2 linked regions of the Lytechinus pictus genome follow. Each later gene encodes a partner of the first gene's protein in a complex. Links are inferred from orthologs where the notes say so. Each region holds a gene or a part of one and is shown in the gene's direction. Other genes may lie near its edges.

Region 1 (3,927 bases):
TTCATTCTTTCGTCCACCCTCCCTTCCAATTCTTTACATTTTTTCACAAGTCTAACATCGTGTAGCCTTCTCTGTTGATCTGTTTTAAAAATTAAGGCCTAGTTCTGTCATTCAGCTCGTGCAGCGTGCTTTGTCGATTGTCCCGTATTTCATTTTGTGAAAATTGGTCACCCTGGGGTCGCCTGCGTGTGCATCCCTTTGGAACAGGCATACGTGTATGCAGCTAGCCCAGCCCGCCGGGTGCGATCGCGCAGAGGCGATGGTCGGACAGCGCTCTGCGGCTGCTTTTCACCAAAATTGCAGCTCATTGTGGCGGATCAATGCTACTGGAACAGCGTAACAAAAAATATGCGAAGCTTTGGAGCGGATTTCTTTCTTCTTTTCTCTCGATAAGAAGAAAATGCTACGCTTCGGAGCGACTTTCTTAGTTTTTTTTCTCAATAAGACAGAGATGCCAAGTTTAAAAAAATGTTATAAGTGAGATTTTCATGACTCGGCGACTCTGCACGCGCGCAGCCAGTACTTACACTTGTACGTTTCGAAAAGGCACGCGCGCAACTCGCGAGATATGGGCTTTATCACGATATTGATCCATACTACAAAACCATGCGATGCACGCACGCGATTCATCGTATCACGTACTAGCTGTGCGCTGACTGCACTCTCGATTCGTCTCACGTGCCGGGGTAGACGCGACGGCATGCGAAGGCTTTTTCTGTCGGGTCCCGATGCGTGAGAAAAATGGGTGCCATGCGTGAGACGGACCCTCGATGCGCGAGTCTCACGCACAATGTTTGAGACTTGGTAGCTCTGATAAGATAAAAATGTCATGCCCTGGAACAGAAATTTGAGTGTAAAAATGGGGGTCCCCTCCACGGCACTATGCATTATATACTGAGTGCCCCCCCCCCCCCCCCCCCGGATCTATCATCTGGTCACCCTGAAAGTGAAAGGCCTGATCTGAATCACAATTTAACTGTTATTTTTATTTCATTGACATTTAGAATTTATGAAAATATAGATCTAAATATAGTCAACTTAAAAAGAATATATATATTTTTTTCAGAGATCTAAACCTTATTAAACCAAAGATTATGATAGCTAATGCACTTTCGTACCATCCGACGAAACCAAGCAGTGTTCCACAGGCACAGCCCGATTTCCGGCGCGGCTGCCGCTGGGTCGGATGTCGGGGACGATGTGACTGATGCGAAAGTGCACTAACGCCGATGATACCACACTTACGACCGAAAATAGGAAGTTTTGTCATTATTGTTGCTTCAAAACTACACCCAATGCACTGTTGTGATGTAATCGGACTGGAAAAATCAGCTGGTAGTTGCATTCGATCCTTTTTTTCCTGGAAAAGAGATTCCTGGTATGGGCAAAGGCCGAGGACGAGGTTCAGGTTCGAAGCGAGCGATTTCCCCGAGTTGGTTTTACAAAGAAAATGTTCTTAAAGATACCATACCGGTATACCGGCTGTATACTGTGCATGCATCACATGCATATTTCATGCATTATACATATGCGCAGGCTAGGCAGGGCAGGCGGCCACTGGGTTTGGAGTGAAATGAACTGAATTTTGTCTGCTCTGTAATTCTTCTTGTAATCTCACTGTTGCAGTACGTGTGAAAGTAAAAATGAGTGCCGGAAGTAGTAGGCTATCTGTAGCTTCACAATTTTTTATGGACGATGATGATGGAGGAGAAGGACAAACCGTATCCGATCGGGTGAATCTTTTTTTTCTCTCATTCTCAATCAGTCTCATTGTCTCAATTTTGTTTGAAAACTTGGGACAGTTTGGGAACGTAAACTAAAGTCAAGAGAGCACAAAAGTCTTAAAGAACTTGATGGTTGTTTATCCAACAAAGTAGACTATGCCGTAGGGCCTAGGCTATGTCATCATGGTCATACTACTAGCTGTTGATCCTCGGCCAATCAAAACGAGTCATGTCAGAAGACTCAGATTTAAAAAAAAATATGTTGATAAAATGGCCTATTTCAAAGCCAGGGATCCTGTGGCATGGGCCGTGTCTAGCGCTCAACATAGCCTTTCGAGACTAGCCTCCCCCTTTTGGCTTTAGAATCCAATTTCATGAATTGCTCATGTATGATGCCTCGTTCTAACACTAGTCACTCCACTACATTATTAGTATCATCATCATGGTGTCGTAAACAATTGTGACATTGTCACATTGGATTTGTAAAGATGTTACTCCCCCCCCTTTTTTATGTGTTTATAATTATAGAGAGTGAGACTAGGCCCTAATTTGTTTTATTAATTTGTTCTTATTTGTGTAAACAAAAGGGGTAACACTCCTGTCATGGTTGACTATATTTCAAGCCAGTGTATCCAGAAAGGGTTCTGGGATTCGTTCTAATTGTCAAAATTCAAAAGCAAGAGAAAATATGGGAGAAAAAAAGGAGAAGGGAAGGTATCAAACCCCCTTATTTAATCCGCTGACTACACTCTCGCTGCAGGGCTACATACATGTAACTGAAGAAACATAATGTAAAGCAAATGATCATTCAGTTAGGCCTATATCTTCTGTGATTTAAAAAAGTGAAAATATTGCCTTGTGTGCTCTTTCATGTACTGGTATACCAAGTTGGTGTGTGTGTGTCCCGATAGGTTGTGTGTTCGGACAATTGATTTTAAACAGTCATTTGAGAAAGTTAACAAGAAAAGTTTCATCAATTTTAAGTGTAGGCCTAACTATAAACGATTAGGCAATATTATTGAGAACAAAACTGAAGAAGTTTAAAACTATTAAATTCATATTTTTTTGTAATCCAAAGCCCCCCCCCCCAAGACTTCAAAGATTTAAAGTGTCCGGATACACAACCCCCATCCTACATGTAGATCTATTTCAATTTGGGAAACCACTCTTATTGAGTCATGCTCATTAGATTCTTAATCACCACCACAAATATATTGACAACCATCAGTGTTGACAACTATGATTAAATAATTTTGAATTATAATTTTTTTTTTAAATATATTTCTTAAAATTGCTATGTTTATCCAGACACATTATTTGTCATGTTTGGACATATTAATTATGTACATGTTGAGTAAAGGGGTTTTTGTGTGTTTTTTCTCCCTTGTCTACAGGTTGTTGACTTGCTGCAACAAACCCACACTTTACCCAGGGATTCTCAGAAGATCAACAACTTGACCCAAGTCCAGCAACTTATTATTGACAAGGATCCTTCTCTACTTGATAATTTTCTTGATGTAAGATTCCTTTGTTCTTTCCAAACATTACCAAATGTTTCTATCCGGCCATGTGTTTCAAACTTGACCTTAAAAAAAAAGTCATTTTTGTGAGGCTTTTTCAGTTTTTTTCTATATTATGTGAAGTTATATAACATATGCTTTGTCATCTCACCAGAAATATATCTTGGCTAACTAAACAGAGGTTTGCCATGACAATGATGTCATTTTAAAGGTGAATAAATTATACTCTTATGTGTCTGTATATATGATTTCATAAATAGCATGTGAATATGTGATACTTGCTTGGTAGGAGCAAAAATGAAGGTGGAAGGGGAAGTGGTAGACATAAACTTGATGATAGTGACACGCTTTGTGTGTTAAAACTGAAATAATGAAAGATTTTTTTTTTATCTGTGCAGGAAGTTCTTCAGTTTCAGTTTGATGATTCCATAGAAGTAAGGAAATTTGTACTCAGCTTTGCAGAATGTGCCTGGTAAGAAAATTACATTTGATTTCATTCTACTTTTATAATGCAAAATACCAAAGAATTTGTTGTTTTTGTCTTTGAATAAAGAAAAACATGGAGAACAGATCATCCCTTAAGAAAACTCTCTAATAAGTAAACAATTTTCCACCCCCCCCCCCGAAAAAAGAGTTTGACTTATTTCAAATTAATCTGCAAGTCCCATCCCACACGACCCTTC
Region 2 (3,927 bases), on another chromosome or scaffold:
ATTTTGTCCCCATAGAGAACGTACATAATTTTCCCATAATTTCAAAAATCCAAATAATAAAAAATATGGAAATATCAAGAGTTTTTTTTCTTTTAAAATGTTCTATTGAGACATATTTGATATGACTGAAAAGAAAATTAGCCATTTCAACAATTTTTTTTCTTGTTTTTCATGGTTTCATGAATTTCTTATGTATTTCTATTGTTTTTATTTTTTTCATATTGTTCCATTTTCACAGTTTTTTCACTTTGATTGTTTTCATCAATCAGTATTCATAACAAATTAGTCTTTAAACACTAAAGAAAAGGTAAATAATCACTTTTTAGAGCACTCTTGAAATTGGTTTTTCTCCATTCACTTCGTACACAAATCTCCCCATTGACATTGTGTGTAAATGTCCCATACGTAACATGTTGTCCCATACGTAACATTTTTTTAATTAAGTTTTGATTAAAAAGTAAACTTTATTTTTGAAACTTTTTGTGGTATAACAATTTCCTACTTGGACAAGACCTAATTTGCATATTTAATTAGATGACACCACTTTTTTCCCCAAAAAGTAATAAGATGTTATGGGGTCCATGTCCCACCTATGACTAAATCTTACAAGTTTTGGTTTGATTTTCTATGAGTTTTTATAATTGTCCCATACGTAACGCCCATTTTACCAATTATGCAAATTAGGTGCCCCACATTAGCATACATATGTATATTATCAAATTTTTCTTTATGAAATTTTAAAATTCAACATTTGGGCTTTCTTACCCCACCAAAGATAACTTCTTAAATTAAAGATGAAATTTTGCCTTCTAGGGTGACCTTTTCTTGGACTTGCCCTAAAATGTAGCAATATGCCTGCATATGGGTAGAAATTTAGAATAGTCACTTGCGTCACTGCATTTCCGCAAATGTGTATGATACGCCGTTTATCCAAAAAAAAAAAAGAGATGCAGAATTAACCTTTCCTGAACCATTTTTTGAAGCCTATATTGCAACCTAAGTCACTGTATATGTTGTAGATTTATATTTTAGGGTGATTTTTTTTTCTAATACACCCCAAATGCCTAAAAATTTGCGGTAGGTCTACCACAGTTGATATGTTGACTTTTAATTTCTTTGCAATTTCAATCAAGTTTATTCTGTGTTGGGGAGTGTGGGAGAACATGACCACTATTATGTCAATCTAAATTGCATATTCTTTTCTGCGAATTCGCGCACTCCGCTCGAAAGTTCTACGAAAGCACGTTGAAGTAAGATGTCTTCTCAACTATGGTCTTCGCTTTGGTCTAATGCATTTTTATTCTAGGGGGGATATAGAGGCAAAGAAAGGACAACAAAAATGATAAAAAGTTTGAACTAGATTCGATGAAACTATAAGGTATTTTATTAATATGAATTTGTCCACTTGGACTTTACACTTCCAACTGATGAATTGCTGATGTCTGGCACCTTCAAAGTAGGTCCCAGGCCAGGCAAATCATCATTTTTAGAAAATGAATCTGTCCAAAAACTTTTGACTCAACTCGTCTCACCTGCATCACCCAGTACAGTGGTCTCACCCAGTCTCTCTCGATCTTTATCTGTCAAGATAAATAGCGGTAAATCTGGTCAGAAAAATGCCTCTAAAAATTGCAGTTGTGTGCTCGAGTAATCAAAACAGGAGTATGGAAGCCCATGCCATATTGAGGTACAATTCAACCCTATATTCATGTTGCTTATCACATTTAGAGCATATGCAATTGTTTGTGCGGTGTGTGTGTGCTACCTCAGGCTCAGGTCTGGTCCCATTCATCCATATCTACGTTGTTTCCATGGTCTAGGCCCTCTATGGCCTAATTAAACGCGGGCTAACGTATTGTTGGGCCTTAATTTTGTTTAATTTAATATTAATAACTCAGCCCCAGGGAGGTCGGGCGCCTTTGCTCTGCAGCCTTAGCTACAGTGGCATAGCTCCCTGGGTTATGGACTTGAATAAAGTTTATACTTTTTATAGTAAGGCAAGGGCAAGCATAGGCATAGCCATATTTATGGGTAGGCCTAACCTATTTAGTAATAGTATAGGCCTAGGCCTATAGTATTTTTTAATGATCAATTCAGACTTGGTCAAGACTCAATTCATCTTTCAATTCAAGAGAACAAGTCAAACTCATTCAGTTTTTAACTACAGACTTATAGAGGATCTAAGGAACTCATCAAGTAAAGTTAGATCAATAGGGGTAAAAAAATACATTGTGCGATTTCCATTGATCAGTGCCAGTGGAGAAAACTGTCTCTGACAGTGACAGGCCTTGCTGCTGCTTGGGCTAAGACTAAGAGCACTCAGAGTCACCCTCTCCTATTCACAGTCATTTGTCTAGATCGATCTTGAGTGAAAAGCAAAAAGCTGATCAGTGTAACTGTAAGTTGATGTGTTGTCTTTTGTGTGTGTGTTTGCTTTTATCGTAAAGGGGAAGTTCATTTTAGTTATGATAACCGTAATATTTAATGCAGGAAAATTAGAGAAAAATATTGGTAACAGTATGATGAACATCTGTGAAGGATTTATGAAGTTTTCGGTTAAAGTTTTGATTTGAGACAAGCAGCTCCTCCATACATGTATGTCATGACACTCATGTGATATAGATTCATAATCAAATCTTTTCCATCTACCAACGCTAAATTATAATTTCTCAAGAACTACCATTTCTTATGCAGGACCTAAGTTTTGGAACAAATTACCACAAGAAATCAAAATATGCCCTACTTTGAATATGTTTTAAAGAAAACTAAAAAAATACCTAGTTGAAAATGAATCCTAGAATAAAGTTAACAAAATATTGCCTTGGTGGGAGGTTCCGGATGTTTGGTTGTCTCTTGTTATTTCATTTACACTTATATTTCTGAATTCCATGTGTGTCTATTTCTTTTTCTATTGTTTTGTGTTATATTTTGGTATATATTTAAGAAACATTTTATGTAAATTTTATTACCTTTGGGAATAACCCTGATAGGCCTTTGGCCTTTGTTAATTCCCACCACATTATGATTCCGAACTGAATATGTTTCATTTTAATGTTTTTTATTGTATATATCTATCTGCATATGAATTTGTACTTGTGTTTTTAATCAGATGTGGAAATAAATTTGAATTGAATAGAATTGAAAAATTGAATAATTTTAAAATGTTATTTTCTTCAAATTTGAAAGTGATTTTATTTTTGCGGCGGATATATATCAGACACATCAATATTACCCCTTCTATAAGAAATATGTTTTCACTCATCAAATTTCATTAGAAGTTAAGGAAATTATATTTCTACTCGCATATGACTTTAAAATTAAAAAAATCACAACCACTCTTACTTGATTGGGCTTTCATTAAACCTACTGATACATTTTTCCTCAAATTTTCCTTATATTAAAACCAACTTATTGTTAGGGTGTACTCTTCATTTAAGACTTAATTAGATCTACTTTTTTTTTCCAATTTTGACCAATAATGTAGTAATAGAATTAGTCGATAATAGAACAATATTTCCATTTATCCTTGTTTTGAATTACTGTGTAAATTTTTGCTCAAAAAGAAAAAAATACTTTGCATTGTATTTGTAACAAGGGTGTTGAGTGTCATTGCAGGCCTTCTCCGCAGTACATTTTCACACCATAGTACATTTTAGGAAATGTCCTGATGTGATATGCCATTTCTGTATGTTTCCCAATGCCATTTTTAACTATTTTTTACTTCTTTGCAGCAAGAAAGGCTTCAATGTGAAGTCGTATGGAACCGGTGCCACGGTGAAGCTGCCTGGTCCGGCTGCAGACAAGCCCAACATATATGACTTCAAGACGACATACGAGGAGATGTATCAGGATCTGAAACGCAAGGACCGTGATTTGTATCCTTAATGAATAGAATAATTTATGATGATAATGGTAACAATATTTTGA

The links.
Region 2: the proteins of symplekin-like (region 1) and RNA polymerase II subunit A C-terminal domain phosphatase SSU72-like are in contact, whole or in part, in a crystal structure (PDB 4YGX), measured with the Drosophila melanogaster proteins. The link is inferred for Lytechinus pictus from reciprocal best matches to the Drosophila melanogaster genes Sym and Ssu72. Residues at the interface, in NP_649580.1 of Drosophila melanogaster: Glu91, Ala117, Lys121, Gln125, Gly128, Ser129, Glu169, Asn170, Asp171, Gly172, Thr175, Asn176, Lys179, Phe180, Arg198, Ser240, Ser241, Val242, Ile245, Ala246, Ser249, Thr281, Ser283, Gln284, Ser286, Ser287, Lys290, Met294, Gln295; in NP_001285455.1 of Drosophila melanogaster: Glu114, Tyr117, Asp118, Val121, Met122, Glu125, Glu128, Ser129, Val130, Asp131, Asn132, Arg133, Pro134, Asp168, Asp170, Asn171, Asp174, Gln178, Glu181, Val187, Ile188, Leu189, His190, Ser191, Val192, Phe194.

The regions. Positions count from the first base shown.
Region 1 is NC_087251.1:31,991,864-31,995,790, reverse strand, and holds the start of symplekin-like, read left to right. Parts: upstream 1-1,106; 5' UTR 1,107-1,245; coding exon of another isoform or gene 1,246-1,345; 5' UTR 1,346-1,643; coding exon 1,644-1,733; intron 1,734-3,118; coding exon 3,119-3,241; intron 3,242-3,642; coding exon 3,643-3,716; intron 3,717-3,927. Other genes in the region: glyoxal reductase-like, read right to left, coding at 1,246-1,345. UniProt on the Drosophila melanogaster protein: Component of a protein complex required for cotranscriptional processing of 3'-ends of polyadenylated and histone pre-mRNA. Involved in germline stem cell transit amplification, differentiation and mitosis-to-meiosis transition.
Region 2 is NC_087258.1:7,694,732-7,698,658, reverse strand, and holds the start of RNA polymerase II subunit A C-terminal domain phosphatase SSU72-like, read left to right. Parts: upstream 1-1,216; 5' UTR 1,217-1,616; coding exon 1,617-1,687; intron 1,688-3,731; coding exon 3,732-3,875; intron 3,876-3,927.